Linked DNA regions of Oryzias latipes. Each later gene encodes a partner of the first gene's protein in a complex. Links are inferred from orthologs where the notes say so. Each region holds a gene or a part of one and is shown on either strand. Other genes may lie near its edges.

Region 1 (3,650 bases):
GTGGGATGCGGTTGAGCATGGGTGCTTCTTTTATTGCACCATGACTTAAGTGTCTAACAACTGAAGTGAGGTCCATGCTGTTTGGCTGCCTGAGTGTGTGTTAAAGCAATCGCGCTTTTTGCTGGACATAGAACTTTGCAGGCAGTCTCCCCTCCGAGTCTGCCGGAGCGCTTCAGGCGGCCGAGAAATAAAAGCATAAATTAGCCGCATCATTAAATAAGCCGCAGGGTCGAAAGTTGGTGACAAATATAGCAGCTTATAGTCCGGAAAATACGGTCAAATGAAAACAAAAAGAACAGAACAGTATAATGAACTCAATGTAGTGTCAAAATTCTAAACTGAAAGATAAAATGGCTCAAAACAACAGACCTTTAACAGGAACATTGGCCATTTTAAGTCCCCTTACTAAACTTCAAATATGTCACAGTTTGACCATTGACTGGAGAGGAGGCCTGGACCGAGTGAGTGTGATGTCACCCAAAGAAAACGACCTGTTTGGTTCCAAATGAAGTCAATTCGATCACAATCTTTTGGCATCAGTCGCCGCCGTGTTGGAACCAGACAGCGTCAGTAAGTACCGTATCTTTCACACCGAGAGGCGCACTTCATTTTAGTTTTTTCATAAAAGGACAGGGCGCCTCATATATGAATTCATTCTGATGGTGTTTACTGATGTTCATTCTGATGTTTTTGAGAAGTAAACAGCACTCTGTCAAAATGTCAGTCTTTTTTTTTGGGTGTTATTGTTAATATGCTAACATGGCCAACATGTAGAGGTGTCAGACTGTGGTTTTCTGACGAGTTACTAACCAGGCTGGAAGTTGCAGGAATCTTGAATACCTAAACGTGGCTAATGTGTTGCGTCTTAATAAAAATAATTAGAATGACTGTGAACACAGTTAAGGAAGTCAGACTGATTTCGTTCAGTGCGCCTGATAAACGACAGGATTTCCAAAACAGACCAATAATTGACTGTGCGCCTTATAATCCGATGCGCCCTAAAAGTGATTGGTCGGTCAGAGTGATTGTTTCCATGGCAACTGCTCTCACCAATCAGGAGTGGGCTTGTTAGAAAGCCACACCCTTACCATTTGAAAGCGGGCTCGGGATAATCTGTCAAACGTTTGATGTGATAAAATACTTTTGAGGCATCTGATTGGTCAGTTTATCACTTCAATAACTTAAACTACAGAACTAAATATTTTTAGACAAGGGGGTTAGCAAGAACATGTTAAAAAGGTATCAGAGAATCAGGAATTGTTATTCTGACCAATAGAATGACTGAGTACTAGCTGTTTATTAAATTTAATTTTTTTTAAGATTACAATGACACTAATTTCCATTAATAAGACTTTTTTTAGGCCAAACTCCAACATTGAATCCATTTATCCTCAATGTTTAGTAAAAGGCAAAACGAAGGTTTTGGTTGCGACTGCCTCACCCATCAAACACTTGTGCCGTCTGCTCCGGGTTGAGGATGAGGCAGGTGTGGTATCTCCTCAGCACAGCCACTATGCACAGACACAAGCTGGTGGTGTAGCTGCCAACGAGGCTGGACGACTTCAGCAGCAGCTCAGCTTCCACCAGACTCAACTCATTCAGCAGCTGGGACAGAAAAGAAAGAGCTTAGTGAGAAAATACAAGACCTGAGAAAAATCCCATTTACCCTGAATAACCAAACTGCTGTGTTTACCTGGATAGCAAAGTCTATGAGGCCACTAATGTTGAGGGAGTACTCCATGAGGTCAAAGATGAACTGAATGTGCTGGACGAGGGGCAGGTGATAGGACATCCCCAAGGCAAAGCTGTTGATCTGCTCCAACACATTTCTGGACACCTGCAGACACGCACAGACATAAGACCACTATTCTGGGAGTGTGTCAACTCCATCGTTTAGCCTCGACAACAGCAGTGGAGTCAAACTGCTCTAAAGCGTCACACAGTTACAATTGTGTGTTTGGGGCGATAACTGCAGAAACAAATACAGACCAGAGAAAATAAAAAAACAAAAAAGGACAATAAAATCACATTTTTGTCATCGTCGGTATACCAGCCTGTGCAATACATGCATCGCTGAAGACAGCGTAAACTACAATAAATGGTCGCCTTAAATGTTTACACAGATGCTAATACAAACTCATGGCAGCTTGAAATATCTAACGAATCAAATGGAGCCGTTTATGCCGCTGACCAATCAAATGCAGCCCTCATTTCATTCATTCATTCATAATCTACATAGTGTTAGTAGAGTTTGTCACAGATTTGCGGCTCCTGAAGCCTGATCTGTTCAAAGATGATAAAGCAACATTACTTTTGCTTTGATCAAATATATATATATTTTTGTAGTTTCAAAGCATTTTATGGCTGTTATTAAACCTGTGCTGTTACATAAGAGCATCTGTTCTCTGCTTTACAGTTTGCACAAAAAAACAAAAAAAATGATATCATCATGTTATTACTACCTTTTTTTTTAATATTTAGGATTGAAATAATGGATTTTCTGAAGTGAGATTTCTGTTCTGACCTGAGAGGTGACCTGGTGCTGGTCAAAATGGGAAAGGTGCTGAAATTTGGAGAATAAATCCTCTGCAGTGGGAAAAGCCTCTGGCTTGCTCCTCTTCCTCTTTTGTCCTTCTTCACCTCCTGCACATATGGACAGAGGTGATGAGGTTAAAACGGGAAGCAACAACCCTAAAGGTCTGCCCTCTGCTTGAAGTCGGCTGACTACGTCCCCCTTCACACGTCCTTTCCTCTCCAAATAAAACTCCACTACAAAAGAGATACATTAAAGCGTTTCTCATTTAAGAAAAAAACTAATGATGTTATTCTGAACTGTGAATAATCTGTCATGAAGAGAGTTCTGTAATAGAAAACCTAAACCCACAGTCCTCATTTCTGAAATCGTGTGAAAAGATGAAAGTAATTTACAAACTCAAACACATGGAGGGAATTTAAATGGAAGATAATCAGTAGATACTTCAGGACCCCAGACATTGTATCCAAGATGAATCCTAATGTACCAAGCCTGTGCTGGAGGAACTGTGGATCAGCGGTGCCCAACCATACACATGTTTTCTGGACTTGCCCCTAAACTGCAAATCTTTGGGATGAGGTGTACAGAGCTATAAAACAGATATTTCAAGTCGATATACCAAGAGATTTGATGGTAGCGCTCCTTGGTATCATCCCAGCACAGATACGAGGGAAGACAGAATCATACCTTCTAAATGTACTTTTTACAGCAGCATTAAAATGCATTACAATTAGATGGATGAAAACAGAGCCACCCACCCTAGATATCTGGATTCAGAAAGTAAGAGAACTCTTTCAAATGGAAAGAATAACTTTCCTATTAAGACATAAAATGCAAAACTTTAATGTATGATGGGGCCCAGCAAAATCATTGATACCGTCATCAGCTTGATAATACCTCTAGCTAGTCAAATGCTGTCATGTTTAGATTTTATATTTCTGTTTAAGGTGAAGAGTCTTATGGTAATTCAACTTCCTGTGTGTATCCTCCTTTGAAAGTACCCACTGGATTAAGGTTGATTATTGTGGAAACCATGGAGACAACCGTGTGTAATGCTCTGTTGCAAAAAGTTTGAATAAATTATAAGTTCTAAAAAAAAAAAAAAAAAAGATGAAAG
Region 2 (4,081 bases), on another chromosome or scaffold:
TATAGCTGGCTTATATGTTTATTCTAAAACTTGACTTTTTAAACTTCCTCCAGTTTATCTAAACACCAGCAAGCTGTTAAACAAGCACAAAGAAGAGGCGGAGTCGGAGGACTTCCTTTTTTTAAATTATTGCATTACACACAAAATTTACAGACATTATGTGGGTTTTTGGTTACCGGTAATTATTAAATTAGAATTAAAAATTAAACGTAAGAATTTCTTGTTAAAAGAAGGGCTTGGTATCGCAACCAAACTACTGATTTGATTTCAAATTACAAGTTCACAAAATGATTTGCATGACAAACTTTGCTTTTAAAACCACTTAAGTTTGATTATGAAAAATTTGTTCTTAGAAAAATTATCTTTCAAATTGAGCAAAAGTGGAAGTTTTATTATTAGAACTAAGATTGGTCATGTTTTTATTAACAAAAAGCAGTTTTTTTTATGCCTGAAAAAAATATCATTTAATACCGTACAAGAGAAATCTAGCATCACATTGAAAGTAAAAAATGTTTTCAATTTCAAAATAAAGTTCATGCAAGAAGGGGTTAAAGTAAAATTAATTTATTGATTTGTTAAACTGATCCTTGCTGTTTTAATCCAGCCGTAGTTGAAAGAAATCTAGCATAGTTAAATGCTTTAGAAAGACAAAAAATTGTAAAATCCTTAAGTGTGTGTGTTTGGGTGTGTGTGAGTTTTACCACAGATTGAGTTGATTCTTGCTGTAGGTCTGAAACTATCCACAAAGTCTGATATTAAACTGCCCAAAATCTAAAAATCAAACACAGAAAACCCCAAAAATCAAAGACATGTTTCAAAGAATTGAAGATGTTAGGGATGTACATTTACACACTCGTGTAATTATTCACATACCCAATGTGAGAGCTGGCCTTCTGGGTACAGTTTTCTTATTTCTGTTACAGCAAAGTATGCTGGGAGGAGGCAGGCGTTTCTGTCCAAAATGTACTCCACCACCTGAAAAATGGGCAGAAACGACTATCTGAGAATTACGGTTTGTGTCAAGACAAATAAAAAACTGGATCTGAATTACAGAATTCAAGAAAACGGGAATGATCTGTACCTCCCTGGCGGCCAGCAGCTGCTGGAGTATAGCTGAGCTGACAGTAATGGGGACGGTCTGAATTTTATCCAGAACACCTTTCAACAGATCGCGTACACCCTAAGGAAAATATAGAGCAGATTTTAAAAACAAAACTAAATTCTTTTAAAGTCCATTAATGTCTTTCAAGCTTAAAGGAGATTTATTTTTAGTGCGTCAAACACCTTGTAGTCCACCCCTCCGATTATTTTGCGGATGAGCTTGAAGGTTAAAGCCCATAACTGTGTTCTTTCCCACTCCAAGCTGTCTGAGCTAATGAGAGCTACACACACCATCCTGAAAGCAAATGAATTCATCAAAGGAATGAGTCACACAATTTCAAGCCTCACAATGAATAAGCAAACAAGCTAATACTGTCATTTTCAAAAAGTGGTCAAAGCAGAAATGCACTTTGAATTAGAATCTGCAGAAATGAATAAAAAATAATGTGTTTAATAGTGAAAATATAAGGAAGAGGAAACACTCAGCTTCAAAAAACTTTATATGGAGCTTTTATCTTTTCATAAATTGCATAAATGAATGTAAAGAATGTGGGCAGACTATGATAAATGAGTGTATGCACCTGGGAGGCAACAGACTAGTCTCCACAGCCATTGCAAGACAATCATACAAGAAGGAGATCCTTTTGGGACTGCGCTGAGTGTGTATGAAGCGCACAATCCACTGAACACACTGCTCGTGAGAATCCTGAAGAGGAAAAAAAAGAATAAATATACAGAATATGATGTATCTTTGTGTATAAATGTTTAAGATATTAAAAAAAATAAGTTTAAAAACCTGTGGCAGAGTTCCCCAGTACTGTCTGAAGGCTCCCAGACAACTGATGAGTTTAGTTCTTTCATCCTCTGGAGTGTCCATGAACATCCTGAAACCCGAAAATGCCAGCTTCACTTTTTTAGTTTAGGAATAAGAACCATTTGTTGTCAATCCAACACAATGTTTAGGGGTGAAATATGTTTTAGGAGCAGAAAATAAATTAAACAAACTACAGATTTCTATTCTTTTTTTTTAAAATCAGAACTAAAAGTCAAAGCATTTTGACCTTTTTTCAACATGTTTATTACTCATTATGAATAAAAGTTAGTAACAAGCTTACCCAGCAAAAGCTTCTTCTATTGTCTCAGTTTTCTGAAAGATTGAGAAGAAGAAAATATGATTTATGATGTTAAAAGAGATCAAAATTCAAAATACAAACAACCAAAAATAAAATTTTCCTATTGACAGCAGTCAAAGGAAGAAAATAGCCTTTGCTTCAAAAATACCTAAACAAAGACTCATTCATTTTGAGGATAAGTGCCTTGTTAACAAAAGCATCACCACTGACAACAGATTATAATCCAAACCTGATACATTTGTTTGTTAACAAGTGTTATTCACGTGTAATTTAATTTGTGTATTTTAATGCAGGTTATCTACAAAAAAAAGATAGTTCGCAAAAATACTAACAACAATAAAAACAAGCATCATCAATGCTAACAGATCCTCTGTCGTGGATCCATTTTTGTTATAAGGTGCAATTTACCACGACATCTTCAAAGATGCTCTGCAACTGAGACTCCATCGAAAGCGCCATATCGATCATTCAGAGTGAAATCTGACCAAAAGTCACTACGCTTTGTTGCAAACAGAGCTCCAAACAAACGGCATGCTAATGTCTTTGGAGAACGAAGCGCCACTTCGTGTGCAACTGAAAAGTGATCCGGGTGAACACTTGAAACACACACTAAATAGTTCCGCTACGCTCTAACTTTATGTCCACCTACTAAAAGTCATGTTAATTCAGCGCCATAAACAGTCGCGGCGGGCAACACCGAGAACTTTGGTCTCTTGTTAAAAAAGAAAAAAAAAACTTATGCTGAAGATCAGATAAACTATCTGTTTCAAGAAACGGGGATTCTTTATTTTCAAATACACGCACTGCTTGTAGCCCACAAACTATTAAGGGCACTGATCAAAACATTACTCTACTGTTTTAACTCTCAACCACTTAATAAACTTTCTTGTTTATTCGAAATCAGTGACAACAGTTAGTTTGCAAATTATCCCAGTAATGTGACATAATTTAGATGAAAAGTCAATGGGTGTTTCAAAATCATTGGCTGTGGTAAACTAAAATAAAAAAATGACGAGGTCGTGACCATCCCACATTAATTGCACCTGCTCAGGTGTCGTGCGCGCGGACAGGTACAGCCACATTCCTTTCTCAAACACGGAATTAACGCGTCGTTGAAAGGGGATTTTTTTTGCAGAGCGCTCCCATTCATTGAGCGCATTCTTACCTCTACTTCCTTTTTTCCACTTTTAGTTTAACAGATTTTTTATTTTACTTTCTTTTTAGTTGAGAGGCAACCCGATTTCTTCAATGCGCGTGAAAAGTCACTGGTCCACGGCAGGTGGAGGGACTGCGCAGCTTGATTCTCCTTAAAAATAAACTAACCCCCGCGCGCAAGGATGTGGACAGCCTTCGTGCTAATGAACCTCTTGGGTCTTACCTGCACAGGTAAGAATTTGTTGACATGTTATTGTGTGTTAAAAGAAATCCTCGCGCGCTGGATGAGAAAATTGGTCAAATGTGTCCAAAAGGAGAAATCCGATCTAATTTTCCCAAGGCTTTCTGTCATTTCATATTGACTATCTCCTTTTTCTCAATAAAAAATAAAAAAGCAAAATGATCAATTAACAGACTTTTTTTTAAACATATAGGTTACTTTTAACAGCTATTAAAGAATTATTTAAATCTTTGATTTTTTTTTAAAGACAACAAGTTTATAAACGTGTGTGATCTGGTTGTAAATGTAATAATTTTAAACCTTATTTAACAGTTCAAGATAACAAAAATAATCAACTTTATAAAAAACATAGATGGTTTTTTTCCATAATGTTTACCTTTCTAGATGAGTTTGCTGTTAATTGATCAATAACAAATCAAAAACGTCTATCATTATTAACTAAATGTAAAGC

What was found. The genes of interacting proteins can lie anywhere in the genome.
Region 2: med12 (region 1) and med23 share a complex: the UniProt entries of both Homo sapiens proteins name them as parts of the mediator complex. The link is inferred for Oryzias latipes from reciprocal best matches to the Homo sapiens genes MED12 and MED23.

Annotation. Positions count from the first base shown.
Region 1 is NC_019868.2:8,256,165-8,259,814, reverse strand, and holds part of med12 (mediator of RNA polymerase II transcription subunit 12), read right to left. Parts: intron 2,644-3,650; coding exon 2,525-2,643; intron 1,838-2,524; coding exon 1,694-1,837; intron 1,606-1,693; coding exon 1,442-1,605; intron 1-1,441. UniProt on the Homo sapiens protein: Component of the Mediator complex, a coactivator involved in the regulated transcription of nearly all RNA polymerase II-dependent genes.
Region 2 is NC_019882.2:15,918,999-15,923,079, forward strand, and holds the start of med23 (mediator of RNA polymerase II transcription subunit 23), read right to left. Parts: upstream 2,827-4,081; 5' UTR 2,703-2,826; coding exon 2,643-2,702; intron 2,249-2,642; coding exon 2,217-2,248; intron 1,986-2,216; coding exon 1,898-1,985; intron 1,808-1,897; coding exon 1,683-1,807; intron 1,397-1,682; coding exon 1,285-1,396; intron 1,181-1,284; coding exon 1,082-1,180; intron 976-1,081; coding exon 874-975; intron 772-873; coding exon 702-771; intron 1-701. Other genes in the region: interleukin-20 receptor subunit alpha, read left to right, coding at 3,572-3,620. UniProt on the Homo sapiens protein: Required for transcriptional activation subsequent to the assembly of the pre-initiation complex. Component of the Mediator complex, a coactivator involved in the regulated transcription of nearly all RNA polymerase II-dependent genes.